Linked DNA regions of Schizosaccharomyces pombe. Changing the gene in region 1 together with any one later gene gives a genetic interaction. Each region holds a gene or a part of one and is shown in the gene's direction. Other genes may lie near its edges.

What was found.
Region 2: mutations in spf30 (region 1) and pof15 together harm fitness more than expected from each alone (negative genetic interaction), as found in Schizosaccharomyces pombe (one large-scale study listed by BioGRID).

Annotation. Positions count from the first base shown.
Region 1 is NC_003421.2:1,381,387-1,385,506, reverse strand, and holds spf30 (splicing factor Spf30), read left to right. Parts: upstream 1-1,962; 5' UTR 1,963-2,081; coding exon 2,082-3,017; 3' UTR 3,018-3,452; downstream 3,453-4,120. Other genes in the region: chaperone EMC4, read left to right, coding at 894-1,475; cell wall alpha-1,3-glucan synthase Ags1, read right to left, coding at 4,103-4,120. UniProt on the Schizosaccharomyces pombe protein: Involved in spliceosome assembly.
Region 2 is NC_003424.3:1,888,307-1,892,698, forward strand, and holds pof15 (F-box protein), read left to right. Parts: upstream 1-2,216; 5' UTR 2,217-2,613; coding exon 2,614-3,345; 3' UTR 3,346-3,784; downstream 3,785-4,392. Other genes in the region: SPOM_SPAPB1A10.13 (uncharacterized protein), read left to right, coding at 1-968; Arv1-like family protein Arv1, read left to right, coding at 4,248-4,334. UniProt on the Schizosaccharomyces pombe protein: Probable substrate recognition component of a SCF (SKP1-CUL1-F-box protein) E3 ubiquitin-protein ligase complex that mediates the ubiquitination and subsequent proteasomal degradation of target proteins.

The DNA of each region.
Region 1 (4,120 bases):
AAAAATTCTCACAAAGAGTGCCCTCCAAAACACGTCTTCCTAAATATTTACACCATGAGTACTTTCATACTGTATCCGATCTTTGTTTATGTAATAGCTTGGCTAACGAGATTATGCTTAAAAAGTTACAAAACGATATGTTCTTTATCCATTGAATATTTGAAAACATCTCAGTGTAAAAATATCAATCATTGAGCATGGTATTACCATTGTAAGATAAAGAGTCAGAACTTTTTCAAGATCAAGATCCTATATCCATAAAAGAAACCAAAACTAATTCCAGCTGTAATCAATAATGATCGTTGGGTTTGATAATTAACAAGAAATCATTAACATTAGATGTTTAAGCGTTGTACATATTCATATCCGGGCCATGAGACAGTAGAAAACCAAAGAAAGCACAAAAGCAAGTTAATCTTGAACTTTTATAACAGGATGGCTTTCTTTTTGCCATTGTTTGCGCTTGTATTTTTGGGATTCATTAGCTGATGGGCTTTTCACTATTACCACCAGTTTCGTTCCTTAGCATCTGCCACCTCCACTATATTGTTTATTTTGAAATATTATATTTTGAGGCGTGTTCTCAAATTATTTAGACCAGAAAATTTTTAACTTCAACCAAAGTTATTAATTTGCTTGAAAAGATTGTTCTACCACCCAACTTACATCAAATAACGAAAAACTGAGATTGACTTCTGGTGAAATATCTTGTTTCAGAAACATCAAATAAGGCTGGTCTTCGTATTTTAGAAACATAATTGAGGTGCTACCAATACTTTTTGACTGTAGGTTAGCTGCAATCAGGCTTTTCATTCATTGACTAAATTTATTCCTTGGTTTACGAGTCCAAAAATTTAGTCGCAACTTTAAATTTCTCTTTTTTCCCTTTCAAGATGCACATTAACGAAGAAACAGATTGGATCGATTTGGTCAAACCAGCGTTAGCAAAGAAGCCCAAAAAGATCGTTGACAATTCTGACAAGTTCCCTACGCCTCGAGGATTTCAACAGAAGTCGTTGGTTTCCAAAAACATTCATTCAGGAAATTCAGCTTCCTCAACTTCCATATTTGCTAAACGAGAGGAAGAATTACAAAAGGATCTCTTACTAAAGAAAGCATGGGAGCTTGCATATTCCCCCCTTAAACAAATTCCTATGAACGCTATTTTAGCATACATGTCTGGTAATTCACTACAAATTTTCAGTATTATGACGACTCTTATGTTGCTTGTAAATCCACTGAAAGCAATAACATCTACAGGATCTGCCTTCACCCCATTTAAAGGCACCCACCCAGGAACCCTTTGGCCCGCTATGGGTGCTTATATTTTATTCCAATTATTGCTTATGGGGATTGGAGTCTATAAGCTGCAAAGAATGGGATTATTGCCAACGACTACCAGCGATTGGCTTGCCTGGGAAGTCTCGAAGGTCTTTATGGATCGATCTTATGGTCCTAGTAAAACTGTTTTGTAAGAATTTCATTTACTCCAAAATTTTAAAGATATACGAGTGAAATCGTTAAATTATAGTACCTCCTAATGCCATTGCTTCTAGCTGACCTAGAAAATAATAAATTCATATAAAGAAGGAATGCTTGGAGTTCGGAAACATATTGTCTTCTGGATTAATAATTTATCCTCCATTATGCGGCATTAAACGTTCAATGCCTTTAATCGATATCATGCACGCCATAAACGAACCTCGAAAATACTTGATTATCCAGTTCTTTTTACCCATCCATAGTTTTCGAGAGCATGAAATTTTTGATAGAATACTTTCTTTTACGTCTTGATTATACTGAATATAGAAATATCAAATATTCTTCTTTGTTTTAACTATTATCAATAATGTCTTAGTATATTGAGTTAAAGAATTAGTGCTTTTAGTATAAATTTAATCTCACTCCAATATTGTTTTCTTCACCCTAGTGTAATAGCTGAGCTTAATTTTCAGGCACTTCACTGAGCGCCTGCTTCACATATTATCTACACTTACAACCGGTTTTGGCGATAAAGCCATTACACTTGGAAATTTTTACTGTTTGAAAAAAAAATCTATTAAATCTATAAAAGTAATCGTATGGAGAAGGAATTAGAGGAATACAAGAGCCAGCTTGCTCTCGTTCAAATTTCTCTTCAGAAGACTCCCCAAAACGAGGAATTACAGTTACTGGAAAATGATTTAAAGGAATTAATTAGCCTTACTGAAAACTTACTACAAGAAAGTGTAGAAAATGATAAAAATACGTTTCAAAATTCCCAAAATGGTGTTGCAGGTTTCAATACTTCAAAGCCAGTACATATCGACTTTACGCCTGGAAATTTAGTAATGGCCCGATGGGTTTCAGGAGATTATTTATTTTATCCTTCACGTATTACTGCTGTTTCAGGCTTCGGTGCAAACAAAAAGTACACAGTACAATTTCTTGACTATCCTGACATTGAAACTGTTTCCCTCAAACATATTAAGGCCATGCCTGAGGAAAAACGTCAGGAAATAGAAGGAAATAAAGAAATTCTCAAAAAATCTACCACTATACGTAGTACACCTGTTAGAGAGCCTACAAAAGCAATATCTGTAGCATCTATGTCTACAAGTCCTTCCAATTATGCGTCTCGTGCCTCTTCTCCAGATATGAAGAGTTCGGCGGCTGTAACGGCTAACGTATCTCCGATCCAAAATGTCGCTCAGCATGTTTCAACCCTACCAAAGATCTCTCCCATTCCTCCCTCTAACCCTCCACCTGTTCCTAGTGTTTCATACTCCCAAAAGCAGCAAAAACAACTAAAACCTAAAGCAGCACTTGAAGCATCACAAAATTCTTGGAAACAGTTTGCTGCTCGAGGTGTAAAAACTGGACGCGTTGGCAAACGAAAGAAGATTGGAGAATCTAGTATATTTAAAAGCACTGAAGATTTTCCTGGAAGGACAAACCCTAAAAATTTTGGAAATGTTGCGAGGTCTGGGCATCGCGAAAAGCACATCTATAATTATAGAGAAGACGAAGATAGCTGAGCAATGTGTCTTCATTTGAAACTTGGTATTTAATTAATAGGCTTTTAACAGCCGCTGTTTATGTTTTCATTTATATATTTTTTGGTGCAATAAGCATAAATAAGCTTTTTACAGATCTTTAACCTAATTTCTGATGAAGCTGTCCTGGTTTTCCATATTTAACAAATTGTTCGTCGCATTGTCTACAGCTATAAAACAATTCTTTTGTTGTTGTTGGTGTATACATTAGAGAGGAATGAGTAATTAGAAAAGAATTATTACCTTTCGCATCTTAAGAATTTAACAGCCATAGACTACTTTTTTATATTCACATCTGCATACGGTTTTATGAATAGCATCATTACTATTTTCTGATGCGAAATAGTCATTTCGTTCTTAAACAATAGATCCATTTCCCGTGACATTTGCTAATTGTATTCCACCAAAATTTGACTTCTTAGTTTACAATAGTTGGTGAAAGTAAATCGGTGGTGGTACTATCTTGTCTCGCCATGCTCTTTTAAATAACGGCAACTTATGTTTTTAATAGCATTGTTACATGATAAACTGAAATATTCTATTTGTCATTCGTATTCTATAAGAGGTATATAAAGCCGTATATGTTGAGGGATCATCCACAGACAGCAATGAAAACTAGCTCCTCTAATATACTAGTATTACAAAAAATCTAATTGTATGAAAGAAATCGGTAAGCATACAAAGGGCGGATAGATTTAATTTTGTTTTAATGGAAACATGTAACACTTATCATAAAATGTAGATACTATGCTAATTGAAATTTATAATGCAATTTATGTATGACCAAGTGATATTCCCTTAAATAAAGCTTAGATATAACACATTCTCGTCAGCAAAGCCAAATGCCAACGGAAACTAGATAAGAATAGTAACAAGGATATGAGGAAGTTAAATAAGGTGGATATAGAATATAATGAAACATAACTTGAAGTATTCATTTAAAAGACCTGATGCTCAACAAGACCGAGCTTGGAGGATATTTTGTTTAAAACATCACAGTAACTGTACATGCTCCGATTTCGTGAACTTCAATTAAAATTTCGCTTTGTAAGACTAAGACTAGAAAACTAAGGACGACTAAGGTT
Region 2 (4,392 bases), on another chromosome or scaffold:
AGGCAGAGAAGCGTGAAGGATCGACTTCTCCAATACCATACTCTTCGTTGTCAATCGCTGAACGAATTAAGCAAGCCCAAAATACCCCGTTCTTAGAATCGAAGGTTTTACCGCAAAACAATGAGACTTCAGACGAAGAGAATGTCGATGTAAAGCCAGCGGCTGGTACGGTGAAGAATGTTATGCAAGCCTTTCTTCAGCCCGCTACTCCTGCCAAAGACACTGCATCAAAGGAACCATCCAAATCATCCCAACAGCCAGTACGCACAAAGCCACGAATTGCTCAGTCACCCTTTCTTGCCCAGGATGCCAAAGAAAATGGTGGCAATGTTGAAGTCTCATCCCCCTTGTCCTTCTCCGCCTCCAAGTCGCCTGCTGCTGTAGACTCCTCCACAAAGACACCCACTGAACAAGTTAATGTTGTATCAAAACAAGCCCCCACCACCTCTTCCACATCGGTGATTTCCCCAGATCCCCTCCAGACCGCTGCACCATCGGCAAATGTGAATGAGGTCATCGCCAGTTTAGAGAGTAAGGTTGTTACTCGACGCACTGGATCAGGTAACAATTATCGAGTGGGGTTACGAAATGTGTCTGGTAGTGAAAGGACAAAGTCGTTAAGCAAGGAATCACCAGTGGAGCCGGAAAAACCTGCACTACCGGATGCTACCTCGAGCTCAACACCAACTACCGAAAACAAAGAATCTTGGACTAACCAAGGCATCAAGTCTAGTCAACAACGTTCGGCAAATGCATCTCCTGCTACTTCCCCTTCTAATCAAGCATCCATCCATGCATCGTTTACGAAAGAATCGAGTACACACTCTTCTCCCTCCTTTACCTTGGAATCCTTGTTTTCTGGTGCTCCACGGGTCGTCGAGTTGACGAGGTTTTCTCAACCCAGCCCTGCTTGCAGCCGTGCTTTGTTGGCACGGTGGAAGGAGGAATACAGAACGTCTATACATTGAGCGAACCCGTCTACGGCCGTGCATGTGTTTGCTTAATGGAACTAGAAGACAAGGATGGGTGGACGGGTCAACCGAATTGCCTTTGCTTATGTTAGATAGAATTCTACCCTAATGTGCGCACGTTGATAGTTAAAGTCGTTTATACTACATTGTAGAAAATGTACATTGACTGCACCAAAACTCGGCTACCGTTCCTAAGTCGATGGTGCTGATTTTTATTTTGTTGTTGTATTGTATGTTCTGCATTCTCCTAATTTATGCTCTGCTTTAATTATTGTTAATTTTTTTTTCCTTAAAAACTTCCTTCCTATATTATTCTATTTCGCACGACATTCATTTTTGAACAACATTCTACCTTTATACGACACTATAGGATCCAATTCTTCTAACGTTGTACTAGTGTTTTATGTTTTTGTGCTTCTCATTTTTATGTTTTGTACATTGTTTTCTAAGTTAGTTATTCTAATGTTGCATTGTACATCTCATTCTTTCCCTATAATTAATTGCCTTGATAATCCTTTTACTTTCTCCTACTTGAGTACTAGCGCAATGCTGTTTACAACTCTACTCGACATTGTTTTTTAACGTTGTACTGTAGCCCACTACATCTGCGGTTTGTTTACAGGACTGTTGTATAACGAGTAGTTATTGTTGCTGTTACATTGCCATAGATTTCAGTAACTTGAGTTTTTCCGCAAGTACCCTTATGAGTGCATTGCTTTTTTTTTGTCCAAGACCTTACCGGCAGTTCCCTGGTAACGAGGCCTGAGGCAAAACCCCTTCTGTCAAAACAGTAGAGTGGAGCAGTAACTGCTTTTAATAGGAGTCTTTGTATCATCCAGATCTGGACTTGTGGTACAGAACATTTGGCAGAAGTTGGTGGTGGTAATAAAACAAGAAGTTTGAAAACAAAAAAAAAAAAAAAAAATGATTTTCGTAAGTCGTTTAAAGAAAAGTGAAAAGTGTTTTTTCTTTATACTGCACTCGTTGGTCAAGTGAATGAACTAACTTTTTCCTGCGCTTAACTATTTACCAATCTCCACTCTTCAAAGTAGCAAGATCCATTCGCGCCATTTTTAGTTGATCCGGTTTGATGGAATAACTGCTTGGCGCTCGTTCATTCGTTCTTTAAGGTTCAAAATGGACATTTTTATTTCAACTCTAATTACGATATCGGCAGTTGGGAGAGGAGGCAAAAGGCCAAATTTTTAGTTTATAAAAAGGAGCATCTCCTTTCATCTATTCTGCAGAAACCAAGGCTTGTATTGTGAGACGTAAAGCGTTCAATTGCAAGGTTTCCCCATTGCTAGTCTCGTTGACAGTCATTCCTTGGCTTTAGAAAAAGAAGTTTGCTTATTTACTTTTTTCACTAATTTTGGAATTCCGTCTTTTTGAGCTACTTGTTTGTTTAGACATTTTAATTCTTTAATTGTTTACAATTTACTGTCTTTTTTCCTTCATAATAGAAACGCATATCGAGGTTTGAATAGGTCGAAATAGAAATATTTTGTTTTGTTAATCGTCCATCATCTCATTTCATTCACATTCCATCGATCGGTGCTATATTCTCTTTATTTATTCAGCTTAATTGCCCGATTTTTTTTTTAAATTATTTCTTACCTTTTTTTTTTTGGTTTGGTAAAAAATGAGCTGTGTTACTAGAGCCCCCATGTCTGTACCCCAGACTGCCCTTCAACCTAATTCCTACGTTAATTTCGACGCTCAACAAACATCTTCTACTCTGCTTCCAGTAGAAGTCATTGACTCGGTCATGCAGTATTTACCTGCACACGACGTTATCCAGTCTAGCTTCGCCAGTTATCCATTGACTTTGATTGCCAACAAGATCATTCGTGCTCGTCTTTCCTTCTTAGACGAATATTCACTTCGCGTTTTTGCAAAGGATGTCTATACCGATTCACCGATTTGCAACTTGTCTGCCCGTCGCGGTTTGTATTCTTTACAATATGATGGTTATTCGGTATTCCACTTGGATCCTAACAATTGCTCCTCTATTTTTCAAATCTCCTTTGAGGACGACGAGGATCTAGCTTCTTTTGAACGATACCCTGGGGAGTTTCTTGCTCCCCATATCAATGTTCGAATTCACGTTACCTTGTCTCGTTCTTCCTGCGATCGTCATCAAGCCGATATATTTTCTTGCTTTCAAGATCCTATTCGTGTCCGCCGGGATTGGCTTGATTCGATAAAACCCGGTCAACCTGAAACACTTTGGTTTGATCAAAACACTCAACATGTCATCGGTCTAATTGTTACAAGAGTTGATGCTGCTCCTGGAAAGTATGATCTTTCTGTTACATCTGTTATTGTTCAAACGGAGTACCTTTTATCTTGCCTCGAGAAAAGAGTACATTAAAAAAGAACTTTTTCCATTCTGCATTGTTTAATATTCTATTATTTAATTCTCATGAGACAATCATGATTGCGTTCCGTTTTCTTTTAATGTTTATTTTCGTTGCTTGACAAGCCTGTGTCGCTCACGACTTCTTTGTTTGACATTTTGTACTTATTATTCTTTTAATTAAAAATTTAATTTACCTGTGATGTATGTTTTGCTGTGTTAATACATCCTGGTTTCTCATTTAATAAATGCGTTTATACATTTTACGCAGTCGACTGGTTTTTTTTTTCAGCGTTGTTTTAATTTCATTCAGCATTTGGCTTCATGTACAAAATTTATTTCTTAACATTTTTTTTCTAATAAACTTTTTTTTGTTGTACTGAAAAGTAAAAACCTACCTTTTTTTAAATTGCTCAATCAATTGAATGTTGTTTTCACGTTTCTCATTTCTACGAATATTTTAGCCTTTGTAAAATCTTTTTAATAGACGCTTAATCTTGTAAATGTGACTAAGTCTATACTACGTTCTTTCGCTCCAGTCAGTCTGCATTGTTTTGAGAGTTAGTGATTTTATGCTGGAATCGACGTGGTTATTTCGCAAATCTTTTAAATATGTAGTGAAAGCAGTATTTGTTTATATTATTGAAGAACTGTAAAATTTAGGTTTGACATTGGTGGTTTTTTGGCTTTACAACTCGTCTGTTAACGGAATTGGGTAGTGTTCAAATAAAATTTAAAATTGGTAGAACTCTGGGATAAGTTTTAGTATTTATGTTTCTATGCAAATAAAGATAAGCTTACTTGTTTCATTTTTTCTTTAAATTCTATATATCTTCATTGTTTTTACATGTCAACCAAGAATACGAATGTTTGGTTCATAAACATACCTCAATACATTGACACCACCACCCGTCACCATGAAATGCGTCGAATGCGGCGCGGAAGTCGATTCTTTATACACATATTATGGAAGGGGTACCAGTAATATTCGACTAGCTCAATGCGTAAGTAATATACACACAATATGTTTCGTTGATGTAGTCAACTTGATCGTAAGGAGCT